Pelodiscus sinensis: one gene and its partners. The protein of the gene in region 4 binds, or shares a complex with, the protein of the main gene of each other region. Links are inferred from orthologs where the notes say so. Each region holds a gene or a part of one and is shown on either strand. Other genes may lie near its edges.

Evidence for each region.
Region 1: CBLL1 (region 4) and RBM15B share a complex: the UniProt entries of both Homo sapiens proteins name them as parts of the WMM complex. The link is inferred for Pelodiscus sinensis from reciprocal best matches to the Homo sapiens genes CBLL1 and RBM15B.
Region 2: CBLL1 (region 4) and METTL3 share a complex: the UniProt entries of both Homo sapiens proteins name them as parts of the WMM complex. The link is inferred for Pelodiscus sinensis from reciprocal best matches to the Homo sapiens genes CBLL1 and METTL3.
Region 3: CBLL1 (region 4) and WTAP share a complex: the UniProt entries of both Homo sapiens proteins name them as parts of the WMM complex. The link is inferred for Pelodiscus sinensis from reciprocal best matches to the Homo sapiens genes CBLL1 and WTAP.

What each region holds. Positions count from the first base shown.
Region 1 is NC_134721.1:43,355,580-43,362,998, forward strand, and holds the start of RBM15B (putative RNA-binding protein 15B), read left to right. Parts: upstream 1-4,411; 5' UTR 4,412-4,808; coding exon 4,809-7,419. Other genes in the region: MANF (mesencephalic astrocyte-derived neurotrophic factor), read left to right, coding at 1,537-1,678, 3,916-4,100. UniProt on the Homo sapiens protein: RNA-binding protein that acts as a key regulator of N6-methyladenosine (m6A) methylation of RNAs, thereby regulating different processes, such as alternative splicing of mRNAs and X chromosome inactivation mediated by Xist RNA.
Region 2 is NC_134740.1:757,272-764,216, forward strand, and holds the start of METTL3 (N(6)-adenosine-methyltransferase catalytic subunit METTL3), read left to right. Parts: upstream 1-3,937; 5' UTR 3,938-4,023; coding exon 4,024-4,117; intron 4,118-5,279; coding exon 5,280-5,470; intron 5,471-5,660; coding exon 5,661-6,059; intron 6,060-6,311; coding exon 6,312-6,487; intron 6,488-6,940; coding exon 6,941-6,945. UniProt on the Homo sapiens protein: The METTL3-METTL14 heterodimer forms a N6-methyltransferase complex that methylates adenosine residues at the N(6) position of some RNAs and regulates various processes such as the circadian clock, differentiation of embryonic and hematopoietic stem cells, cortical neurogenesis, response to DNA damage, differentiation of T-cells and primary miRNA processing.
Region 3 is NC_134713.1:113,548,696-113,556,613, reverse strand, and holds the start of WTAP (pre-mRNA-splicing regulator WTAP), read left to right. Parts: upstream 1-4,916; 5' UTR 4,917-5,082; coding exon 5,083-5,118; intron 5,119-5,246; exon of another isoform or gene 5,247-5,421; intron 5,422-7,918. UniProt on the Homo sapiens protein: Associated component of the WMM complex, a complex that mediates N6-methyladenosine (m6A) methylation of RNAs, a modification that plays a role in the efficiency of mRNA splicing and RNA processing.
Region 4 is NC_134711.1:27,032,982-27,040,879, forward strand, and holds the start of CBLL1 (E3 ubiquitin-protein ligase Hakai), read left to right. Parts: upstream 1-4,892; 5' UTR 4,893-5,018; coding exon of another isoform or gene 5,019-5,031; intron 5,032-7,898. UniProt on the Homo sapiens protein: E3 ubiquitin-protein ligase that mediates ubiquitination of several tyrosine-phosphorylated Src substrates, including CDH1, CTTN and DOK1. Targets CDH1 for endocytosis and degradation.

The DNA of each region.
Region 1 (7,419 bases), on a different chromosome or scaffold from region 4:
CCCCAATGGCTCTGCTACCCTCTGGGGCTCCGTGCTCTCCCCTCACCCTCCTCCCCAGGCTTCATGCTCTTCCCACAGCATCTCTGCTGCCACCTGAGGGACTCCCACTGCTGCCGGGGGCTTGTACAGCTACTCCGCTGACTGCTGCTCTAGCCCTGGTGACCAGGGGCTCTGTGCTTCTCCCAGCGGGTCTCTTGGCTCCCTAGTCTGGCAGCACTCCTGGCCTCAGCTCAACAGCTTATCCCCTTGAGTATTCTCACAGGGTCACCTCTACATTGTCGGGACAGGGGTGTTGCTGGACAAGGGAAGTCGGATTATGCAGTTTCAAACTATAATAATCTATCACCATCTCTTTTGCAAAATAATCCTTAAGATTATAGTAGTAGAAGTGTAGAAGTGTGTAGAAACTGGGAAAGTCTCTTGCTTGGTTGTGTGTACAGTGTAGGCCTACACAGGAAAGATTTGAGGAGGGATGCAGTCCCTCCCCACCATACCAAAAAAAACCCAGTTTTCCGTTGGTTGACCTAATTTCTCCCTGTAACTGAAGGGCAGTGAGCTTTTTTTTATGAAATTTTAATTTTCTACAGCACCCCTTGAGCATTACGTGATGCATCTAGATTCTGTACAAACTATGTTTAAATATGTATGCTTATCAACCCTTGAACAGGGAAATGGGCAGAGGAAAGTGCTAATTGAAAGCAGTCCAGAATGGTTTCAAAATGGAATGTCCCAAGTAGAAAGGCCCACTGATCTCTGAAGAGAACTATCGCTGACTTTGTCAGGCATCCTTAGGGACATACTTAAGACAAGCTGTTCTTGAACTGAGAAAACTGCCTTCAGCTCAGTTCAGATGAAACATAACCGGGCAGGGGAGGGAGGAAATAGGACCACCATCCTCAACATAATGTGAAGTCCACTTTTCTCATAGTAGTACTGGGACTTGTGCAGAAATATTCTCTACCAACAAATGCTGCAACCTCATCTGTTCAAAATGTGCTTGAGAAAAGGCCAGATAAGCCATTTCTTCGCAGCGTGTTCTCTCTGCTCCTTATGGTGCTAAGGTGTTCCAGGCTGTAGAGTGAACATGGGGCTGCTATTCCTATTCCCTTCCCCCCCCCCCCCCTTCACTTAGCTCGCTCTAGAAATCCAAACCAAAGCAGCAGGGTTCAGAGTCTTTACCAGTAGTATTGTCTACTCCACTGGATAAGTGGCGAGGAGTCCTGTGGCACCTTATAGACAAACTGAAGTGTTGGAGCATAAGCTTTCATGGGTAAAGACCCACTTTGTCAGATGCATGTAGTGGAAATTTCCAGAGGCAGGTATAAATATGCAGGCCAGAATCAGGCTGGAGATGATACCTCCACTGGATAAAACACTCTCGGGTAGAAGCATGGCAAGACTGAGAGATTTGTAAAGCAGAAAACTCAGGGTGTTTGGGAGGGAGGGAGGAGGCAACCAAAAAAATCAGCTGAATCCTTCTGAAGCATCCTTTTCCCTCAGTATCACTAGACACCTCATTCTTTTCTTCCACTGTAGTGCTATTACCTTGGGGCCACCAGTGATGCAGCCACCAAAATGGTTAATGAGGTATCAAAACCTCTGAGTCACCACATCCCTGTGGAGAAGATCTGTGAGAAACTGAAGAAGAAAGACAGCCAGATCTGTGAGCTAAAATATGGTGAGTTTGGGCAGACATTAGCTAAGTGGTTAAATAGTTGGGCTTTTCTACAGTATGGTTCTTTGTTCTGATAAGTAACGAACTTGCACCCTGTCCCTTAATATTGCAGAGCTGAAGTGGAGGGGGGAAGGTGATGAGCAAGTAGCCAATAGTGATAGTTGACTACTTGCTTACATCCAACTCGGAGTTCTTCAACAGACATCGGTTTATCTAGGCTGCAACATTGTTTATGCCTGGGATTAGGTAAAATCCTAGACTCTCAGTGAGTCCCCTAGCTGCCTAGGTCCATCATGAAGGCACCACTGATGTTCACAAAACCACTGCTTGGCTGCTGCCTAAGTCCTAATACTGTCCCACAGCTAACAAGTTGCATGGAGCCCTGCCAGGATTTTCAAATAAGCTGGCTCCCACCTGTCTTGCCTAAAGAGCCCAATCCAGCAGGTGTGCTCAGAGCACATTTTTCATTTTGCTCTTGGCTGTCTTGGGCAGCTTCCTGGTTAGCTTGTTGGCTTCTAAGAGTCCCTTTCTTGTGTGTGTCTCTCCTCATACAATGTGTGGGGGCCATGAATGCCATTGAGCAGTGCAGCACTGCAGTAGTGAGCATAGCAAAGGCCTAAGTCCCCTTTGTGCCTTTAGCCCTTGGCCTCTAGTTGGGAGACTCTTATTTGGAGTGTAGAATAGTACATAGGAAAGATTTTTGTGGGGAACAACCCAGCCTCATTACAGATTAACTAGGCCTAAGGCTATTGGCTGCAGTTGTTAAATGCATTTATTCAGGTAACCGTGAAACCGCATACAGAGGCAGTGGGGCAGGTGGGACCATGTAACTGTGCACATTAACTGATGAGCCTCACTGGTTAACCCAGTACACATGTACATGTTCACCCTCCCTAGTGTTGACTACAAGCTTCTTGTTACCAAATCCTATCTAAAGATATTTACAAGAGACTAATTTTCATTTTTAATGGTCCCTCTTGATTCCCTAAAAGTCTGCCTTCCAGTTCTGCTCCAACAAAACTGCTCAAAATATTCTTTCCTCTTCTGCTGCTCTCACTAGGGATGTAAAATCCTGGTTAACCAGTTAAAGGTTAGGTCAACCTAACCTTTAACCGGTTTAACGACTAAACTGGAATCCGGGCTGGGGACTGCTTCAGTCCAGCTGGAGCAGCTCCTGGCCCCAGCCCCACACTGAGGCTGGGTCTGTCACCAGGTCCTAGCTTCCACCTTCTGCTAGAGCAGCCCCTTTCTGTGGGGCGCCTGGACTCCCCATAGACAGAGGGGCTACGTCTACACTGGCATAATTTTCTGGAAATGCTTTTAAGGGAAAAGTTTTCCGTTAAAAGCATTTTTGGAAAAGAGCATCCGGATTGGCAGGACGCTTTTCCGCAAAAGCACTTTTTGCGGAAAAGAGTCTGTGGCCAATCTAGATGCGCTTTTCTGCAAAAAAGCCCCGACATTTTTGCCATCGGGGCTTTTTTGTGGGAAAGAGATCTCTGCTGTCTACACTGGCCCTTTTGCGCAAAAGTCTTTTGGAAAAAGACTTTTGCCCGAATGGGAGCAGCATAGTATTTCCGCCAAAAGCACTGACAATCTTGCATGAGATCGTCAGTGCTTTTGCGGAAATTCAAGTGGCTAATGTAGACAGCTGGCAAGTTTTTCCCCAAAAGCAGATGATTTTGCAGAAAAACTTGTCAGTCTAGACACAGCCAGGCTGTTCCAGATGAGAACAGTCCCTGCCCACAGCAGGCCCCTTGTGGAACTGAGGCAGGGTCCTGCCTGCAGCAGGTGGGGCGCTGTTCCAGCACCCACCAATTCCCTGGAACTGATAAGCAACAACCCTACCTAGCTCTGACTAAAGCAGTATAACGTGCCAGCCTCTTCACTGATTCCATATGTCCTAATGTGTAAAATTGTCTTCAGTTTCGTGTCATCTTGTTGGCCTGCCTCATTGCAAAATAACACCCCTGGTATGTTTGTTTAAATCTTATTTCCCTTTTCCTCTCCCCTTCCTTTCTGTTTTTATATTCCATTCATTGTAATGTAGATTGTATCAGTGAGGCAGTGCCTTGTTTTTAATGTCCTCAAGAATAGGCCTTCTCCACTGAAGGGGACAAAACTCAAACACACTTTACTGTCCTGTCCACTTCATTAATATGTTATCTAGTTAATCTTGACCGCCTGTAATAGGCTTGTTTTTACTCATTTTGAATAACCAATGTTCCCCCCTCACTCTTCAGACAAGCAGATTGACCTGAGCACTGTGGACCTGAAGAAACTGAGAGTGAAGGAGCTGAAGAAGATCCTGGATGACTGGGGGGAAACGTGCAAGGGCTGTGCAGAGAAGTCAGACTATATTCGCAAAATCAATGAACTGATGCCTAAGTACGCTCCGAAGGCCGCCAGCTCCCGGACGGATCTCTGACCCCCCCCCCCCCCGCCCCCATTGCGCTGTTCTCGGTGGGGTCCCTCTTGCCCCTTTTTGTAAGTTATTGCAGCGGGCGGCCAGGCCGGGCGGGGTGACCGGCTCGTCTCCCCCCCCCCCCCCTTTGTATTGCGGGGCCGCCTGCGGGTGGTGCCGCCGCGGAGACTTTTGTATTAAAGTGTGAAAGGAAGCGGGTCTCTCTCTGCGCCGCGGGGGGGGGGGAGCGGCACAGGCCGCCTGGGCGCGCGCTGAGGCGGGCGGGGCGGGGCGGGGTCCGGCGTGGGAGGGGCTGGATACACGAGGCCGGTTCCACAGGGTTCGCCCCGCCCTGGGTGGGGGGCGAGGAGCGCTATGGCCGCTGCCTGGATGCGTAAGGCCCGGCCGGCCACCGCCCTTAGTTCCCCTGCGGCTCCCTCTCAGTTGGTCCCGTCCGAAGGCGAGGACGTAATGATCGCTTTCTCCATTGGTCCTTGTCTATCACGTGACTCCTCCCCCCCGCGGACGACGGAAGGGCTTCCCTTGTCACGTGATGAAGGCGCCGCGGCCCCAACTCGCCATCGCTCCTGACGCCGCCATGCAGCGGGGCGCGGGGAGATGACGTGTGGCCCGCGCGGCGCGGCGGCCGGACTCCGGAGCCGCCTTCCTTCCCTTTTGTCCAAGATGGCGGCGGCCGCCGGAGGCGCCTGCTGAGCCGCGGGCCCCGGAGCCATGAAGCGGGGCAGCGAGCGGGACCCCAGCCCGGGCGGCGCGGGGGGGGGCCGGGCCGCCGCCAAGCGGCCCCGCGAGCGCGAGCGGGAGAGCAGCAGCCGGCGCGGCCCGCACCGCAGCTCGGGCGCCTCCCGCAGCAGCCGCGACAAGCTCCCGCCCGGCGGCGCCTCCAGCTCCCGCAGCCACCGCGGGGACGAGCGGGCCGGGGGCGGCGACTCCAACCACCGCGCGGCGGGCGGCGCCTCGGCCTCCAGCGCCCGCAGCAGCCAGGCCGCGCCCCCGGCCGCCGCCTCGTCGTCGTCGCGGGCGCTGGGGGCCGCCAAGGCCAAGGCCCTGCCGGGGGCCGTGGTGGCGCCGTCGCTGCTGCTCGCCGGGCCGCCCCCGGGGGCGGCGCCCTCCTTGCTGCTGGCCCCGCTGGGGGGCTCGCCGGGGCTGGTGGTGGAGCCGCCCGGCTCCTGCGAGTACAAGACGCTGCTGGTGAGCGGCCTGAGCACCGCGCTGCCCGACCAGCTGCTGGAGGACGGGCTCTTCCGCCAGTTCCAGCGCTTCGCGAGCGGGGGCGCCGGCGACATCAGCGTCAAGCTCTCCCACACGCCCGAGCTGGGCCGCGTCGCGTACGTCAACTTCCGGCACCCGGGGGACGCCCGTGATGCCCGCAGGCACGCCCGGGCCCGGCAGCTGCTTCTCTACGACCGTCCCCTCAAAGTGGAGCCTGTGTACTTGCGTGGGGGTCGCAGGAGCCGCACACCCCCGCCTGTGCCCTCCCCAGAGCCTCTGGGCTACCTGCCACCCATCCACAGCACCTACCAGTATAAACAGAGGTCACTGTCGCCTGTTGCCAGCCCATTGCTGAGGGAGCCACGGCCCCGGCATGCTCATGCGGCCGCTGCAGCCTTCGCCTTGGAGGCTGCTGCCCTTGGGCTCTCCCGGGAGCGGGAGAGGGCACTGGATTATTACGGGTTGTATGATGAGCGTGGCCGACCCTATGGCTACCCCATAGTGGCTGAGGAAGATCTGATGCCAGAGGATGACCAGAGAGCCACTCGAAATCTGTTCATTGGGAATTTGGATCATAATGTCTCAGAGGTGGAGCTCAGACGTGCTTTTGAGAAGTACGGCATCATTGAGGAGGTGGTGATCAAGCGCCCTGCTCGAGGCCAAGGTGGGGCCTATGCATTTCTCAAGTTCCAGAACTTGGATATGGCCCACCGGGCCAAGGTCGCCATGTCTGGCCGGGTTGTTGGCAGGAACCCCATCAAAATTGGCTATGGAAAAGCCAATCCTACTACACGACTCTGGGTGGGTGGCCTTGGACCAAGCACATCCTTGGCTGCCCTTGCTAGAGAGTTTGATCGCTTTGGTAGCATCAGGACTATTGATTATGTGAAGGGGGATAGCTTTGCCTATATTCAGTACGAGAGCCTGGATGCTGCCCAGGCTGCTTGTGCGCAGATGAGGGGCTTCCCCTTGGGTGGACCGGATAGGAGACTTAGAGTGGATTTTGCCAAAGCTGAAGAGACAAGATACCCCCAGCAGTACCAGCCTGCACCACTCCCAGTGCACTACGAGCTGTTACCTGATGGATATAGCAGGCACAGAAGCCTAGAGCAAGACTTAAGGGTGAGAGATAGGACTCCTCCACATCTCCTGTACTCAGATAGAGACAGGAGCTTTGCAGAGGCAGATTGGGCTAGTCCTGCCAAAAATGCTGAGCGAAGAAATAACTTGGAGAGCTACGGCCGATCTGTGCGTAGCCGAAGCGGAGAACGTTGGGGTAGTGACAGTGACCGCAGTGTGCCCAAGCCTTGGGAAGAAAGGCGGAAACGCCGGAGTCTTTCCAGTGACCGTGGCAGGATTACTCATTCGCCTTATGAGGACAGAGGCAGGACAAAGGCCAGTGGGCCAGCTTTAGATCGCAGCCCAGACAGGGTTCGCAAAGAGAACAACACTACAGAGTCTGGAACAGAGAGGGATCAGAGTAACTCCCTTCAGAACAACCGGCACGTATCTGAGGAGAAACCACATCGTGAAACTTCTGATCTTCCTCAACCTAAAAAAAGGGACAGCGAACGCAATCATCGGACTGGTGAATCGGAATCAAAAACTCACGAGGAGCCAAAATCTGAGACCAAAAAAGTAAAGAACTTGTCAGAATATGCTCAGACACTGCAACTTGCTTGGAATGGGCTTCTTGTGCTAAAAAATAGCTGCTTCCCCACGTCTATGCACATCCTGGAGGGAGACCTAGGTGTAATCAGTGGGCTCTTAAAAGACCATTCATCTGGTGGGAAGTTAACACAGCTCAAGATTGCTCAAAGACTTCGGCTTGACCAGCCCAAGCTGGATGAAGTAACTCGCCGTATTAAACAAGGCAGTCCTAATGGTTATGCTGTGCTACTGGCTACCCAAGCCACCCAAGGAGGGGTAGGGGCTGAAGGGACCTTTCCTGTTGAGCCTGGCTTGCAGCGAAGGCTTCTCAGGAATCTGGTCTCTTACTTGAAACAGAAGCAGGCTGCTGGGGTGATCAGCCTGCCTGTGGGAGGGGCAAAGAGCAGAGACAGCACAGGCATGCTTTATGCTTTCCCTCCCTGTGAATTCTCTCAGCAGTACC
Region 2 (6,945 bases), on a different chromosome or scaffold from region 4:
ACGGTCACACACCAGGCAGGGAGCAGGAGAGACACACACATATACACGCCCCTAGCACGGTCACACACCGGGCAGGGGGCAGGAGAGACACACACATATACACGCCCCTAGCACGGTCACACACCGGGCAGTGGGCAGGAGAGACACACACATATACACGCCCCTAGCACGGTCACACACCGGGCAGGGGGCAGGAGAGACACACACATATACACGCCCCTAGCACGGTCACACACCAGGCAGGGGGCAGGAGAGACACACACATATACACGCCCCTAGCACGGTCACACACCAGGCAGGGGGCAGGAGAGACACACACATATACACGCCCCTAGCACGGTCACACACCGGGCAGTGGGCAGGAGAGACACACACATATACACGCCCCTAGCACGGTCACACACCGGGCAGGGGGCAGGAGAGACACACACATATACACGCCCCTAGCACGGTCACACACCGGGCAGGGAGCAGGAGAGACACACATATACACGCCCCTAGCACGGTCACACACCGGGCAGGGGGCAGGAGAGACACACACATATACACGCCCCTAGCACGGTCACACACCGGCAGGGGGCAGGAGAGACACACACATATACACGCCCCTAGCACGGTCACACACCGGGCAGGGAGCAGGAGAGACACACACATATACACGCCCCTAGCACGGTCACACACCGGGCAGGGAGCAGGAGAGACACACACATATATACGCCCCTAGCACGGTCACACACCGGGCAGGGAGCAGGAGAGACACACACATATACACGCCCCTAGCACGGTCACACACCGGGCAGGGGGCAGGAGAGACACACACATATACACGCCCCTAGCACGGTCACACACCGGGCAGGGGGCAGGAGAGACACACACATATACACGCCCCTAGCACGGTCACACACCGGGCAGTGGGCAGGAGAGACACACACATATACACGCCCCTAGCACGGTCACACACCGGGCAGGGGGCAGGAGAGACACACACATATACACGCCCCTAGCACGGTCACACACCAGGCAGGGGGCAGGAGAGACACACACATATACACGCCCCTAGCACGGTCACACACCGGGCAGTGGGCAGGAGAGACACACACATATACACGCCCCTAGCACGGTCACACACCGGGCAGGGAGCAGGAGAGACACACACATATACACGCCCCTAGCACGGTCACACACCAGGCAGGGAGCAGGAGAGACACCCATATACACGCCCCTAGCACGGTCACACACCGGGCAGGGAGCAGGAGAGACACACATATACACGCCCCTAGCACGGTCACACACCGGGCAGGGGGCAGGAGAGACACACACATATACACGCCCCTAGCACGGTCACACACCGGCAGGGAGCAGGAGAGACACACACATATACACGCCCCTAGCACGGTCACACACCGGGCAGGGAGCAGGAGAGACACACACATATACAGGCCCCAGCACGGTCACACACCGGGCAGTGGGCAGGAGAGACACACACATATACACGCCCCTAGCACGGTCACACACCGGGCAGGGAGCAGGAGAGACACACACATATACACGCCCCTAGCACGGTCACACACCGGGCAGGGAGCAGGAGAGACACACACATATACACGCCCCTAGCACGGTCACACACCGGGCAGTGGGCAGGAGAGACACACACATATACACGCCCCTAGCACGGTCACACACCGGGCAGGGAGCAGGAGAGACACACACATATACACGCCCCTAGCACGGTCACACACCAGGCAGGGAACAGGAGAGACACCCATATACACGCCCCTAGCACGGTCACACACCAGGCAGGGAGCAGGAGAGACACACATATACACGCCCCTAGCACGGTCACACACCGGGCAGGGGGCAGGAGAGACACACACATATACACGCCCCTAGCACGGTCACACACCGGCAGGGAGCAGGAGAGACACACACATATACACGCCCCTAGCACGGTCACACACCGGGCAGGGAGCAGGAGAGACACACACATATACAGGCCCCAGCACGGTCACACACCGGGCAGTGGGCAGGAGAGACACACACATATACACGCCCCTAGCACGGTCACACACCGGGCAGGGAGCAGGAGAGACACACACATATACACGCCCCTAGCACGGTCACACACCAGGCAGGGAGCAGGAGAGACACCCATATACACGCCCCTAGCATGGTCACACACCGGGCAGGGAGCAGGAGAGACATACATATACACGCCCCTAGCACGGTCACACACCGGGCAGGGGGCAGGAGAGACACACACATATACACGCCCCTAGCACGGTCACACACCGGCAGGGAGCAGGAGAGACACACACATATACACGCCCCTAGCACGGTCACACACCGGGCAGGGAGCAGGAGAGACACACACATATACACGCCCCTAGCACGGTCACACACCGGGCAGGGGGCAGGAGAGACACACACATATACACGCCCCTAGCACGGTCACACACCGGGCAGGGAGCAGGAGAGACACACACATATACACGCCCCTAGCACGGTCACACACCGGGCAGGGGGCAGGAGAGAGACACACATATACATGCCCCTAGCACGGTCACACACCGGGCAGGGAGCAGGAGAGACACACACATATACACGCCCCTAGCACGGTCACACACCGGGCAGGGGGCAGGAGAGACACACACATATACACGCCCCTAGCACGGTCACACACCGGGCAGGGAGCAGGAGAGACACACACATATACACGCCCCTAGCACGGTCACACACCGGGCAGGGGGCAGGAGAGAGACACACACACATTCACATGCAGCAAGGGGTACATGTTTCCTGGGGGCGAGGATGCTGCACAGGCTCCCCAGCAAATTACAGATACCCCCTCTCCTGGCTTGGGTCTTTGCCCCTCCCTTGCCAGCTTCCCATAATGCTCCCCAGCTGCCTCTGGTGCAGGGCCCCTCCAGCCTTCCCTCTCCGTCCAACCCTGCTGCCCTTCTTGTGATTTGCCTCTCTTCCCCCCGACTAGACCCCCACATGCATCTGCCCTGTGGCCAGGGAGAGTGGCCCCCTGCCAGCCCCAGGCTAAAGTCAGGGCTGCTGGGGAGTTCTTTGCAGCTAGGGGAGGATTCGAGGCCAGCAGGTCTGGCAGAGTTGGGATGGGAAGCCGGCAATGCAGCGCTTCCCCGTTTCCCATTGGCAGCAGTGGCCCGCAGCGGGGGAAGTCGGGACCCCTGTGAGGGGGTGAACTGCAGAGGGGCAGGGGGGATGAGTGTGCTGTCACCCAGCCCTCTCCAGCTGCCCCCACAGGTGGCTGCATGTGGGGGAGGGGGCACTGTTTGGGGGCGCACAGCGCTGGAGGAAGAGCACATGGTGTCTATCAGCCCCCAGGATCGGGACCAGGCTGCTTCGTGCCAGGATGGGCCTGGCTTCACACCCTCTTGCCAGTGACCAAGATGGCCGCCTTCATGCGCCTGCAGGGATGGCAGTCAGGACCGTGCCAGGAACCAACATGGCCACCATGGCTTCGCAGTAGGGCGGTGGCAACACCCTCTGTTCCCTGCCTTCATGTGAGACACCACTGACGGGCTGCAGCCCCGGCGCCTAACCCCCAGCATGGCTGGCCGGAGTCCACCTACAGGGGACGCCTATGACGAGCCAGTGCCAGGAACAAAGATGGCTGCCAAGACGGCGCCTTTCGTCCCTAGCCACGGTGCCGGCCGCACTTTGCCAGAGCCAGACATGGCCGCCGTGGGAGGGCTTTAAAAGCAAGATGGCCGTCGTTTGCCAGTAAATGAAATGGCCGCCTTATTTAAAAAAAAAAAAAAAAGATAACCAAGATGGTGGCTTAAGATACCCTTAACCAAGATGGCTGCCTTGCGCACAACACCCGAAACCAAGATGGCGCCCGCTTGCCAACAGACGTTATGGCGGCGGCGCCTTCGCGGTGCGGGCAGAAACCGGAAGTGCGCACGTCTTATCCCCGTCCCCCCGGAGGCACTTCCGGCGGCTCGGGTTCGCGGCCCGGCGGCGCAGCATCGGGCAGGGCGGCGGGGCCGCACCATGTCGGACACGTGGAGCTCGATCCAGGCCCACAAGAAGCAGCTGGACTCGCTGCGGGAGCGGCTCCAGCGGCGGCGGAAGCAGGATCCGCTGGGTGGGTTGCGGGGGGTCAAAGGGCAGGGAGGGGTCGCGGGGTCAGAGGGCGCGAGTGATGCAGTGAGGTCAGGGGGCAGGAGCAGGGTCAAAGGGCGCGAAGGCAAGTGGGGTCAGTGGAGTTCAAAGGGCACACGGGGTGGGGGTCAAAGGGCACAAGGCCATTAGGAACCCGTAAGGGTTCAGAGGTCAAAGGGCACCGTGCAGTGGGGGGTGGGGTGTCTTTGAGGAGTTGGGGTCAAAGGGCACGGGGGCAGTGGGGACACAGGGTCAAAGGGCAAGCGGTGTGAGTGGGGGCCAGGGGCAGGACGCGGGGGAGGGGCAAAGGGCACCAGGTGGCGCGGGGGGTGGGAGCAGCGGCCCAGCAGGCTGCCTGGCGGGGGGGGGGGGTGGGAGCAGCGGCCCAGCAGGCTGCCTGGCGGGGGGGGGGGTGGGAGCAGCGGCCCAGCAGGCTGCCTGGCGGGGGGGGGGTGGGAGCAGCGGCCCAGCAGGCTGCCTGGTGCGGGGGGGGTGGGAGCAGCGGCCCAGCAGGCTGCCTGGTGCGGGGGGTGGGAGCAGCGGCCCAGCAGGCTGCCTGGTGGGGTGGGAGCAGCGGCCCAGCAGGCTGCCTGGTGGGGGGGGGGGGTGGGAGCAGCGGCCCAGCAGGCTGCCTGGCGGGGGGGGGTGGGAGCAGCGGCCCAGCAGGCTGCCTGGTGCGGGGGGTGGGAGCAGCGGCCCAGCAGGCTGCCTGGCGGGGGGGGGTGGGAGCAGCGGCCCAGCAGGCTGCCTGGTGCGGGGGGTGGGAGCAGCGGCCCAGCAGGCTGCCTGGTGGGGGGGGGGGGGGTGGGAGCAGCGGCCCAGCAGGCTGCCTGGTGCGGGGGGTGGGAGCAGCGGCCCAGCAGGCTGCCTGGTGGGGGGGGGGGGGGGGGTGGGAGCAGCGGCCCAGCAGGCTGCCTGGGGGGGGGGGTGGGAGCAGCGGCCCAGCAGGCTGCCTGGCGGGGGGGGGGGTGGGAGCAGCGGCCCAGCAGGCTGCCTGGTGCGGGGGGTGGGAGCAGCGGCCCAGCAGGCTGCCTGGTGGGGGGGGGGGTGGGAGCAGCGGCCCAGCAGGCTGCCTGGCGGGGGGGGGGGGGGGTGGGAGCAACGGCCCAGCAGGCTGCCTGGCCTCATCCTGTTTCTCTCCTCAGATCTCAGGAACCCAGAGCTGGTGTCACCCTTCCGCAGCGACAGTCCGGTGCCCGCAGCCCCCACGCCCAGCAATGCCGCCAGGGAGCTGGCCACGGACCCCGAGCTGGAGAAGAAGCTGCTGCAGCACCTCTCCGACCTGGGACTGGCTCTGCCCACTGATGCCCTCTCCATCTGCCTGGCCATCTCTACGGTGAGAGCCCAGCCCCATTCCCCTGCACCCCCACTGATGCTGCAGAGCCCTCTTCCCCATCTCCTGGGCTGTTCCCTCCTTCCCCAGCTCAGGAGATCCACTGACGTGCTAACCCCTCTCTCCCTCTCTGGGGGTAACTTGGGGGGTGACTCCACACTTGCCCTGCCCCACCACCCTGTGTGTCCTGCAGCCAGAGGCGCCCGTCACCCAGCGCAGCGTGGAGGGCCTTCTACAGAAGTTTGCGGCGCAGGAGTTGATCGAGGTGCGCCGGGGGCTGTTGCAGGACGATGAGGAGCAGCCCACGCTGGTCACTTACGCTGACCACTCCAAGCTCTCAGCCATGATGGGCGCCGTGGCAGAGCGCAAGGGCCCTGCAGAGCAGGGCAGCACTGGGGGCCAGAAGCGATGGGCAGAGCAGGAGACTGGGGGTGCTGTTTCTTCCCCCGCCGGCACTGCTCCCTCTGCCTCAGCCGCCTTGGAGCCGGCCAAGGAGCCGGCCAAGAAGTCTCGGAAGCAGGCATCCGACCTGGACCTGGAGATTGAGAGCCTGTTGAGCCAACAGTCCACCAAGGAGCAGCAGAGTAAGAAGGTACCAGCCGGACACCTGGGTCCCACCCTGGCCATTGGATGGGGATCCAATGCTGGGTCCTCTCCCTGCTCAGGTGGGAGGGCAGGGGGCACAGAGCCAGGGGACTTTCTTGCTCTGGCTCTACAGTGAGTGGGATCTAGAGCTGGGAGCCCAGTCTCCTGGGTTCTCTCCCAACACCTGGGAGCAGAGTGGGATGGGGGGGAAGGGAACCCCAGACTCCTGGGTTCTTCTCCTTGCTCTCCCACCCCCCAGGTGAGCCAGGAGATCCTGGAGCTGCTGAACACCACAACGGCCAAGGAGCAGTCGATCGTGGAGAAGTTCCGGTCGCGTGGCCGCGCCCAGGTGCAGGAGTTCTGTGACTATGGCACCAAGGAGGAGTGCGTGAAAGCCACGGACGCCGAGCGGCCCTGCCGCAAGCTGCACTTCAGGTTGGAGCCCAGAACACCTGGGTTCTCTGCAGCTCTGGGAAGGGGGGGGGGGGGCGTTGGTGGGTTAGAGCCGGAGCGCCCGGGTTCTCTGCAGCTCTGGGAAGGGGAGGGGGGGGGGCGTTGGTGGGTTAGAGCCGGAGCGCCTGGATTCTCTGCAGCTCTGGGAAGGGGGGGTTGGTGGGTTAGAGCCGGGGCGCCTGGATTCTCTGCAGCTCTGGGAAGGGGGGGGTTGGTGGGTTAGAGCCGGGGCGCCTGGATTCTCTGCAGCTCTGGGAAGGGGGGGGTTGGTGGGTTAGAGCCGGTTCTCTCCCATCTCTAGGAGGGAGTGGGGCTGGTGGGCTTGGGCCCTGGGCTCTGGGAGGGGAGAGGTCCAGCTGGGCGAAGGGCAGGGTCGATAACCCGGACACCTGGGTTCCACGTCCGTGTATCTTTCCCTTCCCCGCGTCTGCCCAGGCGCA
Region 3 (7,918 bases), on a different chromosome or scaffold from region 4:
TAGTTTTCGTACCTGTAAAAGCTTGCATAACTCTGTCATTATTCGGGACGTTAGATTCATCCCCTGGTCTGTCAATAGTTCCTTTGGTAGGCCTACCCGCGAGAATAGCCTCATTAGCTCTTCAGCTATCGCCCCCGCGGTTGCTCGTCTCAAGGGGACGGCTTCGGGGAATCGCGTGGCGTAGTCTATAATGACGAGTATGTAGATATAGCCCCTGCTGGACTTTTCTAGTGGCCCCACCAGGTCTAGTGCGATACGCTCGAAAGGCGTCCCTACGATGGGTAAAGGTATAAGAGGCGCCGGAGGCACCCTTGTAGGTGACGTCTTTTGGCACTGGGGGCATGAGGCGCAATAATTCTTTATGTCCTGATATACCCCAGGCCAATAGAACCTCTGGAGCACCCGGTGCTGTGTTTTTTCTGTTCCTAGGTGTCCAGCCCAGGTGTGATCGTGGGCAAGCTCTAGCACCCCCCCCCCGGTAGGGCTTTGGCACGAGCAACTGGTGCTTCACCTCCGTCCCCCCTTCTTGTGGAGTGACCCGGAACAAGCGATCCTGATGCACCTCGAACCGGGGACCCTGTCCCCCTCTTCCGGTGTCTCTGGCTTCTCCTACCTGAGCCCACGCGTGTTGCAAGGTCGGGTCCTCTCTCTGGAGTGCGAGGAAATCACCTTCGTCCAGGTCCAGGTGGGGCATTGGTGTCTCTGTCCCGTTCGTCCCCTCCTCTCCGGCGTCTGGGTCGTCTACTTCCTCCCCGTGAGCTGCAAACCTGGGGTTTTTGTCCCTTTCCCCCTTCTTGCTCCGTTGTTCCAACCCCCAATTACTTAGTAGGTACCCCAGTCCGGGCCAGTCCCTGCCTAGCAACGCGGGGTATGCCAGATTGGGGCTCACTGCGACTATACATGAGTCCCTTATCCTCCCATCATCAATTTCCACCCTTGTCGTCGCATAGGGGTGGATATCCCCATGTACACATTTCATGTATACTCTCGGCCCCCGGGGCACTTGGGACCCCAGGATGTTGGCTCGGATTATCGTTTGCCCGCACCCGGAGTCTAGCACCGCCTTCACCCGGCGTCCATTAACCCTTATCTCATGCAACATTTGCCTCCGCCCCTGTTCGCCCCGGGTTACCTTTCGCGTGGGGCCTTGCCCGAAGGTGCAATCCATCATGGGGCAGTCTTTCTTAAAGTGCCCCTCCTATCCGCACTGGTAGCAGGCTCCTTTGGTTCCTCCTTCGGGTTGTGGGTTCCTCTCCGTCACTCCGGTTGGCCCTCCGGCCTCTGGGGTTCGTCCCTCCGGGTGGTCCCACCGGGGCGCTAGTCCTCGTCCCATGGTTGGGCCTGCCGGTGTTCTGGGGCCGTATGTCTTTGCGCCACTTTTCGCTGGGGCAAGGCCTCCTGAATGTGGTTCTCGTGGCCCGGTGCGGGGGCGCGGTGCTACTGTTCCTTCGGCGGCAAGGAAGCGTTCCATCAAGGTGATGGCTTCCTCGAGAGTCTCTGGGAGGTGTCGTCTCACCCAACGCTGCCCCTCGGCTGGGAGGATCTTCACATACTGTTCTAAGATCACCGCCTCGGCCACTTGCGTTCCGGACTTATTTTCGGGTTCCAGCCAGCGCATCCCCGCTTCCCGTACCCTCTGAGCCACGGCCCGCGGGCGTTCGCCTGGGCCGTACCGGGCCTCGCGGAACTTTTGCCGGTGGAATTCCGGGGAGATCCCTAGTTGATCTAAGATGGCCTCCTTTACCTTATAGTAGCATAACGCGTCTCTTGCGGACATTCCTCGGTAAGCCAGTTGGGCCGCCCCTGACAAGTAGGGAGCTAGGAGCGTTGCCCATTGGTCCTGTGGCCATTTCGCCGCCAACGCCACCCGTTCGAAGGTTACCAGGAAGGCCTCTGGGTCGTCTTCAGGGCCCAACTTCGTCAGCCTGATGGGGAGTTGGCGGCCCACTACGTCTTCGTCGTTTCCCGCCGGTGTCGCGCCCCCACCGGCCATGCTAGTTGCAGCTTGATGCTCCTGGAGCTTATCCAGGACCTGTTGCAGCGCCTGCGACTGCTGCTGCTGCCACTGCTTCTGGTTATCTATTAGCCAGTCCACTACTTTGTTCAGCTCCATTATCCCTGGGGAAATTAGCTTGTTATAACCAGAGGAAGGACCCTACCCCCGGGAGGACCGACCTGTTTCGCTCCCTTACCTCTAGGCCCCCCCCCCCCTCTCTTCTTCTCTTTTTTTTTTTTTTTTTTTTTCCGAGTGAGTATATATGTGCCCCCTTAACCGGGGCTCAGGTCATGCCCACATTCTCCACCACCTGTAACCCTGTGCCCTGGTGGTCACCCCGAGTTCGGGTGACCCTCGTCCTTCCTAGCTGATCGGACTCTTGGCCCTCTGACCGATCGTAGCTCCCGGCCGACCGTGCGGGATGCCGGAGCCCGCACTGGCTCGCAGACGCCGGGAAGGGGGCTCGGGCCCTCCCTCACTCCGAGCCCCGACCCAGGGCCCTAAGACGGGGACGCTAGTCCCTAGTCAGTGGAGGGGGTTACGTTCCCCCCAAACCCTCCACTCGCGGGGACCACGGCCCCGCCCTGGGTCACTTCTTCCCGGCCGGTTGTTCGGCGCGTTCCCCCCAGCAAGGGGATAGACTCACCCGGAGTCCCTGTCGCGGGTGAGGCTTCAGCCGCCGCGAGTACCGTGTCTCCTCCCCAGGGTCTCCCAACAGACCCGGTTCCTCTGTCCTGCCTCCAGCACTCCTCTCCCCCGGTCCATGGTCCGGTGCCCTTTGAATGGCCCGCTCCCCTGCGGGCGCCGGGGCCGGCGTGGTCCCGTGACTCCAGGCCCCGCCCCTCCCCGCACTCTCCCCGTCGCCTCCGGTGACGTCATCGCCCGGCGCCGGGGAACGCGGCGGGCCGACGGTCGTCTCGGCCGGGACTCCTGTTCCCGGACTCCCCTTCTCAGTGCGGGGCGGCGCGGACCCTGTGCCTGCCCCGTCACAGCACTTTAAGGATCCTTTGAGCCTTTAATACACTCCAAGTGTCATAATTACTAAAATCACTGCATTTTGATGAGAATTTATGAAATGATTTAACAAAGTTTCATTATTGCTACTTGATAAAACTTTAAATACTTCATGTTAAAATCTTAGGTTTAATGTCAACTGTCATAACCATCTTGCTTTAACTTACTTTCTGTAACTTCTATTAATGTAATTTACTTAAAGTTGATCAATTCCGGATTAGTCTCAACTCATTCTGTCTCTGGATTCCAATAAAGTTTCTAATATTTTCTTTAATTTAATTGTGGCTTTTAGTTCTTATTTTATGGTGTTTGGAATTAGCTGACTTGTAATGGTGCATACCTTTCATTTTTCACTTGGTCTTTGTAATCACCCATTTTTTGGCAGTGAGACTTTCAAAAGAGGTTGAAGCACTTACCACCATATTGATATATGCAGTTTTTCTTGAGTGTGTGAGATGCTCACAAACTGTGCTTTGATTCCTGCATGTCACTCTATTTACTATCCACAGGATCTGGTCAGCTGTAGATTTTCCACTTTTGTGGATCTCCTGAATTCTATAGGAGCAGAGACCCATTCCTGCATATATAATATGTAAGGCCTCTGTTTTACATGGTAAGAGTGACATAAAACAGGTGAGCCCCCCTCCCTTCAATTTTCTGCACATTATACCACAAGAAGATTTAGAAGTAGTCAAATTAAATATGGGTGATGACCAGAAATTAATTTATTTTATGGTATTACTTACATTGTCAGTACACTAGGTGTTTGTACATGAAACTGGATTTGGGTGAGAGAGATGGAGAAAAAATGTTAAGTATCATACCCTGTTCTAATTCTGTGATCAAAATCTTAATTCATTGTTCACCAAGAATGTTGAGTTTTTTCTTTGGTTGTTCAATAATACTTTGATATTGCACCAGATGCTTTTATTTTATTAAAATATACGGGTAGTGCTAGGGGGTCACTACCATTTTACTACTCTACCCATATGATTTAATATTAAAAAATAAGCAATTTGCAAAGCACAATTTAATATGAAAGATCATCGATCTGCTATATGAAAGGCACAAAGAGAGAGAGAGAGAGAGGTGGGATTAAAAAGAAAATAATATCCAAAACAACTTGCTAGAGAACATAGATTAGAATATTGATAAACACAGTGACTGATTTGTATGGAGGGAAAATCAGATCTGCCCTCTAGGGACAAATATATTTGTGCATGCTTTTTAGTCCTTGCATTATAATTTGCCGTGCTCAAACTCAAACTCTACTTTAAGTCCAGCATTAAGCAATGTTTTCCAGTTTTTAAAATCAGCAAAAAAATGTTTATTCTTTTGAGCACTAATGGGATCTAAACATTTCCTTGCAGTTTACTGCCTGAAGCCTGCAACCTTGTACTGGACCACTGAAACTAACCAATATATTAAACTGACTAGGCAACAGGTAGTAAACCATGCAACATACATGGTGAAAAATCACGTTTTAAAGAATCCTTTTTGTTTAGTACGCTGGTTAGTAGCAGTAAGTAACTTTGCTTCTGAGCATATTTTATTTTTTCGGTGACCCTTTAAAGGCAACACCAAGGCTGGCTCCAAAAGACGATGGGGGGCAGGGGGAAGGGCTCCAAAATGCGCGAGAACACAAAGGGCAAGGTCATGCCTTTTACTGGCCCCCCTGCTGGTGCATGTTCTGGACCTGCCGGGCAGTGGAAAGTCTCTGCTCTGCCCAGGGGGAGGGTGGAGATAAGCAGGGCTTCCCCGCGGGGGGGGGAGGGGGAAGCGTGCTGGGCTCGCGGCCAATAGCGCTACGCCTTCCTGCATCCTGGACGGCGGTCTCCTTCCGCCCGAACCCTCACTTCAGCAGGTAGTTTACGTGGGAGGCTGTATCCCTCCGCGTCCCCTTCGTCCCCCTCGCGCGCCGCAGATACGCTCCCGGCCCGTGCGATGTCGGTTCAACTGCCAGGCTAAGCGCCGCACCAGAGCGAGACGCCGGGGGCTCCAGGCCGGGCTGCGGCACGAAGGAGGAGGAGCGCTCAGGAAGTAGCCCAGGCCTGGGGGAAAGAGGCTGCCGGATGAGCGAGGGCGGCGCGGGACAGGAGAGCTCGCGGGTGGGTCCTGCTGCCGCTGCCCTTCCTCCCGGCGTTCCCTGCGCGCGCGGCGGGCTCGGGCAGCCTCTGCTGGAGCAACGGCTCCTCCCGGGGGCGGGGCGGCCGCGCTCGCGTTTCCTCCTCCGGCGCCATTTTGTAGCGCAGAGAAGCTGCAAATAAAGAGCGAGCGGCGGCGCGGGCTAGGGGAGGCGGCGACCGCAGGGCCCCGTTTCTGGGCGCTGAAGGTGTTGCCCTCGATGCGACGGGCCGGGCTTTGGTAGTCAGTGCGCGGGGAGAGCGAGGCCTCCGCGCCGCGAGCAGGAGGTGAGTCACCGAGCGGCCTCCCCCTCGCAGGCCGCCGCCGCCGTTTTCTCCTCGCGGGACGTGGCTGCTGGAGCGCACCGAGCACCAGGGTGTTCCCGCCCCGCTGCTCTGGGGGCTCGGGGTGCTGAGCCTGGGGGCCCGGCCGCTACTTACGGCGGGAGGGGATTAGGGGGGAGGGCAGCGCAGCAGCACCTAGAGCCATTTTGTGAGAGACGCAGGCGAGAGCGGGGCTCGGTGCGTGAGGCCCGACCCCGGGGGCGCCCATTGTCCCCACCCCGCGTCTGGGCTGGCTCCGCTCAGGCTGTGGCGAAAGCGGCTAGGAAGGGCCGAGCGCAGCGTAGGCGGGATTTGGAGCCGTTCGGGGGCTCTACTCCCTCCCCCCCAATGCTCCTCGGCCCCGCCGCAGGGAGCGGCCTGTGCGCCCCGCTGTCAAATGGCCTTTCTTGCTGCCGGAGCGTCCGCTGCGCCCTGGCTGCGCGCGTCCCCAGAGGGCCGTGGGGGAGCCGCGCGGTTTCCGTGGCGGAAGGGCGCAATGGCCGAGTGTGGAGGTTCCTGTCTCGCGGAGGCTGATGCACACGCTTAGCTTTACGCTCCGTGCGTGGTTCCGGCAGGGCGGGGGGACTCTACCCACCGAGCCTAAAGTTGAGGCGGCGCCGATATTTCTGCTAATCCGTGGCCTCACTTTGTAGTTTGCTTCAGAGGCTTCGTACCTGTAATGGTGGCTTCTACGCAAAGTATCAAGAGCCTTTAGCATCGTATCAAAATTACCTGCTAAGTATTAAAAAAATTCCTGACGGCTCCAGGCTGTTCCTCCTACAAGGAGGAGGGGCTCCTGGTTTTAACTAAAACAATTGCTATTAACTGTCATTTAACTTGTTTTAATATTGCATATTCCTTAAAATACTACAGAAATTATGACCGTGTTGTAAAGTAGCATATCAGATAAAACTGAACATTGTGATGTTTAAGCTTGAGCTTTTTAGTTCATGTGTCCACATCTATGGTCAAGTAACATCTGCTCCAATCAGCTTATAATTATAAAAAAAATTACATAGTCAATAAACTTATTGCATGTTCCAGTTGGCAGTCTTAATGCATACATTTGTATTTTGCTTATTTGTATTTTGATATTTCTGAGAGCAAAAGTAGAAGACTAGAAACTTGACAAGGTACCATTTGTCACCAGAATTAATCTTTGAATGAAGAGGTGTTGTTCTTCAGCATGGCAGTAAATAAAATTATTCAAAATATCAACATAAATTCAGTGTTTATTTTAGTAGGCTATATTAAAGATTAGTTTTGAAAATAACTTTCATTGTTCTTGTAGAAAATGGCATTGTTGTGCTCTTTCAGAAAATTACAAACTTTTTAGTAAACATTCTGTGTACTGTGGTTAGTGTTTTGGGGATGATGGTGAGCTTACAAACAAGTCTGGAGTAACTGTACACTGAGTTAGATACCTCATGCTGAAATGGTTATATGATTGTTGCTTTGCTCTTCTTTAATTTGCTTTTTTCTGTATCCAAGTACATATGGCAATGAAACAGTAAGCAATTTAAAACAACCAGTTGGTATTCCAGCACAAAACAAATTTAGGGTGACTTCTGAGGCTATGTCCAGGGAATGCATCTGCTCTTCTGCTTTTTTTTTTTTTTTTTTTTGCGGAAGAGCAGATGCGCTCTTTCAGATGCCGAAGAAGAGCTCTTCCAAAAGACAGTTTTTCCCGAAATTGGGCCAAATTTCAGAAAAGCCTCTTCTAACAAAACTATTGGAAAAAAGTACACAAATTGCGAAGTGCAATTAGTGTACGTTTTTCTGGTAAAACATTGTAGTCTAGACGATAGCCTGATTCTCCTTCATGCTGCTATAGATATCACATTAGTTTTGAGGAAGTTAGTTATTGCTTCTCAAAATGTTGACTACAGGAGTGCTATCAGTCAGCTCTGTAAACCTCTCAGATTGTAAATGCTAACACTTGTGATGTATTTCTGATATAGAAAGTCTGACATGGTTCAGCAATAGGCGGAGGTGTATACATAATATCGCATACAAAAAACTATTGAGAGAGTTTTCAGCTTGGACCGTCAACCCCAAAGTTAAGAAATGCCAGACTTAAATTTACTCATGCAACATGAATTCTGTCCCTTGTGCATCTGTCCTGTGCATTGATAACATTAACCCAATTGGTGAGGGGGAATACACAGTCATATTAAGGGTAATATCTAGGGCAGAGGCTGGCAACCTTTTCAAACCAAAGAGCCAAACTGCATCAAAATTCAGAACAGGAGGTCAACAAAGAGCATTCGTATAAGAATGCCCCTTTGCATGACTAAAAATATATAACTTAATATTATTATTTGACATAACGATTAATAATAGCACCAATGAAACATGATACTCACAGACTTATTTAATGGGACTTCTGCTGCTGCATCTTCACATTTCTTGGAAGTTTCCATCACAACTGGTCAAATCCAGCTTAATGTACGGATGCAGG
Region 4 (7,898 bases):
TGAAGCGCTCTGTGAGACTGGTTTGTGGCCTGTGTGGAGAGGTCACCAGTCGGGGGCTGTAAGTAGCCCCGGATTCGAGCAGTTCGCCCTGAGCGGACGCCCTCAGCTGTGCCCAGACACGGCCCGGTCCGTCACACTGGACCAAAGGAAATTTTGGTTTTTCCCTCCTTTGTTCTGGGGAGTTCCCTCCAGCTTCTGAGGGAGACAGACATGTCTCTCTCTCTCTCTCTCTCTCTCTCTAAGAAACTATTCTTCACTTTCTGTAAGTAGGATAAAGTTTAGATAAATCCATTAGGTTTTATTATTTTATGGGTTGGGTATGGGATCTGATGTTTGTGCACTTTTACACAATGTTTTGGCTTTTCTTTGTAATTAAGTTCTAGGTCAATGGAGTCTCTCCATGAAAGTATATGTTGTTACCTTTCAATCTAGTCATTATGCTTGCAACAGGAAGATTATGGTGATAATAAAAGCTTTCTCTTTTCTTTTTTATTAACCTGGTATTGGTTAATTATGTGTCCTGGTTTTTACTTTAGGGGTGAGATTTCCCAAGTGATTTCTCCCCTGATTTCTTTATTATTACTTGGGTGGTGTCTGCAAAGGATTTTATTCCCAAAAATCTAGGTTGTTAAGATTTTAGGGGGAAGTTTTATACCAAAGCCTGGTAGATAAGGTTTTGGGGTATTTTTTCTGGCCCCCACTTCTGCATTTATCGTGCCAGAGTGGGGAAGGAGCCATGACACCATTGTAGAGCAACTTGTGCTCCCCTGTACAAAAGGGATGGTGCAGCTTGTTCTTGGCAAGGAAGCAGCAAGGAAGCTGAATGATATATCTGTCTCTAATGACACAGTATTGAGACAGATAAATGAGATATCACAGAACATCAGTGAACAAGTAGTGGATGAAATGAAGTCTCCATTGTTTGCCATACAATTGGATGAATCGACCGACGTCGCATTGTGCTCTCAGCTATTGGTGTTCGTATGATACATGGTTGAGGGAGACTTCAAAGACGAGTTTCTGTAAGACTCCTGATACCACCACAAAGGCTCAGGATGTGATAGAAATTGTTAACAATTTTTTTGAAGTACATGGTCTGGATTCGGTAAATCTTGTGGGTGTCACCACTGATGGTGCACCTGCCATGCTGGGCTCAAGATCGGGCTTCCAAATGCTGGTGAACAGCACGCTCCTATGGTAACCGGAGCTCATTGTTTCATTCATAGGGAAGCTTTGGCATCAAAAAACATTGCCTGATCAACTGAACACCATTTTCAAAGGGTTGGTGAAAGTGGTGAATCGCATCAAATCATCAGTGCTGAACACCAGGCTGTTCAAAAGATTTTGCCTGGACATGGGTTCCGACTTTGATGTGTTGCTTTTCTACACTTCTCTACAGTGGTTGTCAGCAGGGAACGTACTCAACAGAGTTTTTCAGTTGAGAGAGGAGTTGGATTTATTTCTCTAGGCTCAAGGAAAACAGGAATTCCGAAATGTGCTGACACCATCAAATTTAGAACTTGTGTATCTTGTTGATATTTTTGGAATCTTGAACAAACCGAATCTTCAGCTGCAAGGGAAAGGTGCAAATCTGTTCTCTCACCAATGCATCGTCAAGGCTTTTCTTGACAAATTGGAACTCTGGATCGTAAGAGTTGAAGGCAATAATTTGATTTAATTTCCATATGTGGATGCCATGGTCGGGGAAAAGGAAGCCAGTTGGATGCAAACTCTCAATCATTTACGGAAGCTACGAGATGAATTCCAACGATACTTTTTGGAGGTGGATAGGACAAGGGATGGATTATCTTTCATCAGGAATCCATTTACAACAGATGTTAACAGTGTTTCAGAGGATCTGCAGGAGGAATTCTTGGATCTGAAAAATGATTTTGCAGCTCAAGACATGTACCAGCAGTCTACTATAGAGAAGTTTGGGGCCAGCGTGACCGGGAGTTACCCAAATCGGTCAGCACATGCAGTCAGATTTCTTTTGCCATTTGCATCAACTTATATGTGTGAGACTGGATTTTTGTGTTTGTTGCATGTTAAGTCCAAACAGAGGAATCGGCTTGCAGTGGAAAGCGATATTCATTGTGCATTATCAAGTACCACTCCAAACATTGAAAAGCTTGTCAGTGAGAAGAGAATCCAAAAATCTGTTAGTAAGAAATAAGTTTCAAACCAAAATATTTGTCTGCTCTTTTTTATCATGTCTCAAAAATGAGGTGGTCCACAAAAAATTTTTGATTGGCCTAGTGGTCCGTGGACTGAAACAACTTGAGAACCACTGTTCTAGACCATCCCTGATAGTAGGTTAGATAAATGTCTCTTAAATATTTCCACAGATGGAGATTCCACAGTCACCCTAGGCAATTTATATCAGTGTTTAACCACTCTGACAGTTAGGAACTTTTTCCTAATGTCCAACCTAAACCTCCCTTGCTGCAGTTTAAGCCCAATGCTTCTTGTTCTATCTTCAGAGGCCAAGAAGAACAAGTTTTTTCCCTCCTCCTCGTGACACCCTTTTAGATACCTGAAAACCGCTATCATGTCCCCCCTCAATCTTCTCTTTTCCAAACTAAACAAGCCCAATTCTTTCAGTCTTCTTTCATGGGTCATGTTCTCTGACCTTTAATCATTCTTGTTGCTCTTCCTATAGTTGATGAAAATTCTATTGACTATTCACTTATTTAATTAATCTAAATGTAACATTCCTATCAGTGATTTGCAATCTCAACCACTCCACTCCAAGCTGGTGGGTCCCAATAAGGGGTGAGGTGGGTGCTTGGATTGGGAGTCAATGCACCACGATGGAACCCAGGCCAGGCTCCCACACATGCCTACGTGGAGCCCGTCCACACATCAGGTGCTGCTCTGATGTCAAGTCTGTCACAGCCTGGCCACAAGGGGCCCCGCACCAAAGGCACTGCAGTCCGCATCAGGCTAAAACTTTACTTGCCTGCTGCTGGGACAAAAGACTCCAGAGAAGTTGCCGTGGGAGACAAGTCCCACGTGCAGGCAGTCCACACAACCCTGGCAGCTCCTGCCACAGTGGATACCTGATGCCAACAACTCCCCACATGGGCAGGTGCAGGGTGCCTAGCCTGCAATGCCCCCTTCCTGGAGTTGTGCATTGCCTCTCGCTGTCTGTAGCGCTGCTCACAGCCATAACTTGCCCCAGCCTCCCGTTGCCTCAGGCGCCCAACCTGGCACCAGCTTGCAAGAGCTGAAATATACAATCCCAGCCAGCGCCCCTCTAGTCACCTTTATCCCAGTGGAGGGGGGAGGGAGCTTAGCTGAGCTCCAGCTGCGGACCACTGGGCTGCACTTTGAGAACCACTGATTTAAGAAAAGCCACAGGGCTCTTAGATTTGTAAAGCAGGACAAAGCCGGCGCTCTGTGCAGAACCAGGAATCATCTGATTACCAGCTCAGCTGAAGCCAGGTTACTATGTGGTTCTGCCCTTTTAAATCTAAGACGACCCACATGGCTCTTACTAAAATTAAAGGGGAGAGCAGCAGTGGGGTCTCAGTGAAGGCAGGCTGGGAGGGAAAGTGGGGCCACTTACATGCTGCTGCTTTACCGGTGGTTCCCAACAGGACTATCTGTCTGCCAGAGAACAGAGGACCAGAAGTCAGGCACCGCCTCCTTCTGCTCATATTGGCTAGGTTCTAGAGCAGAAGGAAAAATCTTTAGGAAGGTCCCTGCATACTTGCATTCCTGCAGGAGGGAGAGGAAACAGCAGTGCGCAGCTGCTTCTAGCTGCGCTGCTGTTTCCAGCACATTTTTAGTGTTTACGTGGCCACCAGTTCAGATTTAAATGTGGGACTGTCCTGGAAAACCCAGAACATATGGTCAGCATAGCCATGGGGCGGCAGGGGGAGAGAGGAGGGAGGAGCGCTCTCTCTGCTAGTCTTTTAACTTTTGCTTTTTTTCATAATGAACAAGCTGCCAGAGCCATGCAATAGAAGGAGAGTCTGCAGTCAGTCAGACCCCAAAGTTGGTGTCTTGATCAAGTGGTTACAGACGAAACTTAAGAGAGCCACTGGTGGAACCCTAAGGGCTCACACCTCGCCAAAGCAAAGCGCCCAGCTGAGTGGCATCGCAGCCTCTGCCCCCAGTTAGGGTGCATCTACACTGCACCCACAGCGTGAAATAAGCTACACAATTTGAGCTACACAAATTGCATATCTTATTCTGAGTAAATGTTGAAATAGCTTATCTTATAACTTGGCACTGTATACGCAGCACCAAAATAACTCGCTATTCCGAAATGTCCCTTCTTCTTTGTGGAAGAAGGGTTAAAAGACGTCAGAATAGCGAGCCCCTTATATATTTCCAAATAACAGGCACGCCGTTAAGACGCAGGGCAGCTATTCTGGGATACCTCCGATGGCCCAAATTAGCTGCAAGGAGTAGACGCAGGCTTACAGACTAGCAAGGCTACAACTCCGAGACTTGTCTCACCAGAGCTGAGCAGCAGAGCCATGGAAAGAAATGTCGTAAATACCCTCAGGCATCACCTGCAATTTAGCCTCAATTCTTCCCTCCCGGGATGGGGGCTGCAGCCTGGGCCTGTCGGTCAAGCCCTTCCTCTCCCCCCGGGGGGCGCTCGCAGAGACGCGCAGGGCGCGAACCTTCTCAGACTCTCTGCGGGCTGCCAGCAGTCCCTAAGCGCGGCCCGTGGCGGAGAGCAAGTCACGGGACTACAGCTCCCAGCATGCCAGAGTAAAAAAAAAGTCCCCCCCCCATGCGATGGGCTAGGAACCACAGTCCCTGCCCGGGACCGCGGTGCATACTGGGAGATGTAGCTCACGTGGGGCTTATTCGTTTTGCCCACCGAAACGAGGCCCGCAGCCCTCCCGTTAAGCGCGGGGTCTCGGCTTAGTTCAGTTCTCCCCTACTTGACCATCCGCCCCTTGGCGGCGACGGCTTCCGCTTCCGCTGTCCAGGCGCTTCCGGTGCCGCCCTTCCGGCGTGGTGATTTCCGCTCCCACGCTGCCCCGCGCCGAATCATGGACCACAATGGTGAGGAGGGGAGAGGGAGGGAGCCGTATTTATACCCGTCCCCGCCCGGCCGGGCCTGGCCCGGACAGTGCGTGGTGTGGCCTGGGCAGTCGGACACGGGGAGGCCCCACGGGGAGCGGGCCGGAGGAGCGGCCCGATGCCTGGGGCCTAGTGCGGCCTGGACCCCAGCGCCGCCGGCCCATAGTACGGGTGGAGGGGACTCGGCCGGGCTCCGCCGTCCCTGCGCCCCCGAGCCTCCACTCTGACCGCGAGCCCCAGCCTCCGCCGGGCCCTGCCGGGGAGCGGGCACCGATCCCCACCGGCCTCGTTCGGCGCGGCCCCGAGCGGGCGGGGAAGGCCGCTGGGACTGTTGGCCCGGGGAGGCGCGGTCCCCTTCGCCGCCCGCGCAGCTATGGAGCGGGGCGGGGGTGCTGCAGCAGACCCCGGCTACACCTCCCTGCCGTAGCAATGGCTGAGGTTCCTGGGGTCGGGCTAAAGGATCAGGACGCCTTGAACGAACTCTGGTTCTCGGCGTGTAGTTAGCAGAGGCGCAAGTGGCTGCGGATGGGGAGCACCTCGCTGTATCTGCTAAGGTCTAGGAATATACCGTTTGTATAACGTGCTGCACTTTTTCTGTAGCTGGTCAGAACAGGCAGACTCCCGCTTTTGACTTCTGCTGTAAAATAGCATTGCTCTTTGAAATTGGCTGCCCACGAGTGCATATGAAAAGAAAATATTTTATTATAAAAAATGAGTAATGATTTTCCAATATGGGGAACATCTACAATTGGTAATCTTGCCTCTATGATGCACCATTTCCATTTGCCTCTCTGTCCAAACCTGATATCATAGTTAAAATATAGTTGCAGTGTGTAAACTGTTCAGCCAGTGCATCCTCCTCCCATAGAAGTAGGAACTGTTTACTGTTGTGTGCTTTTTACTTTTTGTCTCTATTGTAATAGTGACAAGGTTGAATTGGCTTTTTTTTTCAGATTGTGAATCCAAAAAGAAGGGAGTACTGTCACTTGCTATGGGTTTTGTACAGTGTCTATTACAGGGAGATCTGTTGAGGTCTTTAGGCACTACTATACTAGTATTTTTGGTGATCTCAGTAATCTTTTAATATGACTATCAGTCGTATCTGAAATTGGCCAGCAGGGGTCAATCTAGAATAGCATAGGACACGTTTCCCTAGGGCTGAACAGTTCAGCCACTGTAACTCTTCCAGCCTCTGTAGACCTGCCCAGTGATGGACCACTGTAGCTACTAACAAGGGGATTGGATTGCAAAGTCCCATTGAAAAGGCTTAGTTTTAATCTTTACCTTGTTTAGAATATTCTGAACCTCTTCCCTTAAACATTTTTACATTTCAGCTACAAGCCCTGTCCATATTTTAAACGTAAAACTAATTAAACTTTTGTTTCAAAGTGTTTCATAGCAAAACTTGTTTTTTGTGGTGATCTTTGCTGTCTAGCATGTTTATTCCTGTCCTAGCTTCAAGAGACCTGGAGTTAAAGGTTCAAGACAGGCGGGAATAATTTACAATACTGTTTTTATACGTTTCAGAGTGATAGTTGTGTTAGTCTGTAACTTAAAAAAAAACCAAGTAGTCCAGTGACATCTTAGAGACTAACAAATATATATAGTATCATGAGCATTCATGGGCAAAATCCACTTAAATGGGATCCTGCGGGTGGAGGGCCGCTCTGGCAAGGCCAGGACCTCCGCACCATGGGGAGCTGCTGCAGCCTGGCTGGAAGAAGTGGATTTTGCCTATAAAAGCTCATGATATTATATATATTTTTGTTAGTCTTTAAGGTGCCCCAGGACTACTTGTTGTTTTTATATGTCTACAAACCTGACAGGTACATTCCTTGAAAAACACAATATTTTAAATTATAATCATAGTTGATCCCTGTAAACTTCAGCAGAGCTAACTTGTTACTCTTCTTCAAAATTCTTTGCTGCAGGGCCTACAAGAAACTTCACAGTGCTTAGCATGCTAATAAGTTGAGGCCACTACCCATCATGCTATCATTATTGTCTCATTACCTCTCTGTGTTTCTCTGTTTTCTCTTGTCTTATACTTGAGTCTTAGACTGTAAATTATTTGGGACATGGACTGTCTTTTTCTGTATGTACAGCAGCTAGCATAGAAGGATTCAGATCCATCATTAGCAATTATAGGTGCTACAGTACTATAGATACATAATAAGGATGTAAAAGTGTAGTTGATTAACTGATAAGCAAAAGCTTATAGGTTAATGCTATAAACTACATGCATTTTTCCTCCTCCTCCACACACTTGCCAGTAAATTTTTTAGCAGGCTGGCCAACAGCCTGGCTTGTGACAGGTTCAGGACCTACCCCTGCTGCGGATCTGCATTTAAAGTGTATTAGGAGGCAGGCAGGTAGCCCAGCCCAGTTCCGGCTTGTGCGGGTCTGGGACCTCAGGCCATCCCCTAAACAGGGGCTGCTGCCACCTGCACTGCTGCTTTTTTTTTATCAGACGCAGCAGCACAGGGTAACAGGCAGCCAGTCCCCAAGGGAGCTGGTTTTTAAACTGGCTCCTCTCATGGACCAGCTCCCACATGAAAAGGGTCTTCGTGGGAGTGAGGTCAGAGTACATTGGCTGCTGGCCCCGCCATGAGGGACTATAGAATAGTTGACTGATAAGAATTCATGAGGTTACTTGACTATTCCATTAACTGATATTTAATATCCCTAATAGACAGGGCTCGCCGAGCGGCGGCGAGCTCTGCTCGCCAGCTGCACAGTTCTGCACTTTATGTATGCGCAGATTGTTCCGTGCCAGCTCTTCTGGGGTGCCACAGGCGAGCGAGTAGATTACACTATTTGTCGATCCCTGCTAATACATAATATTTTTA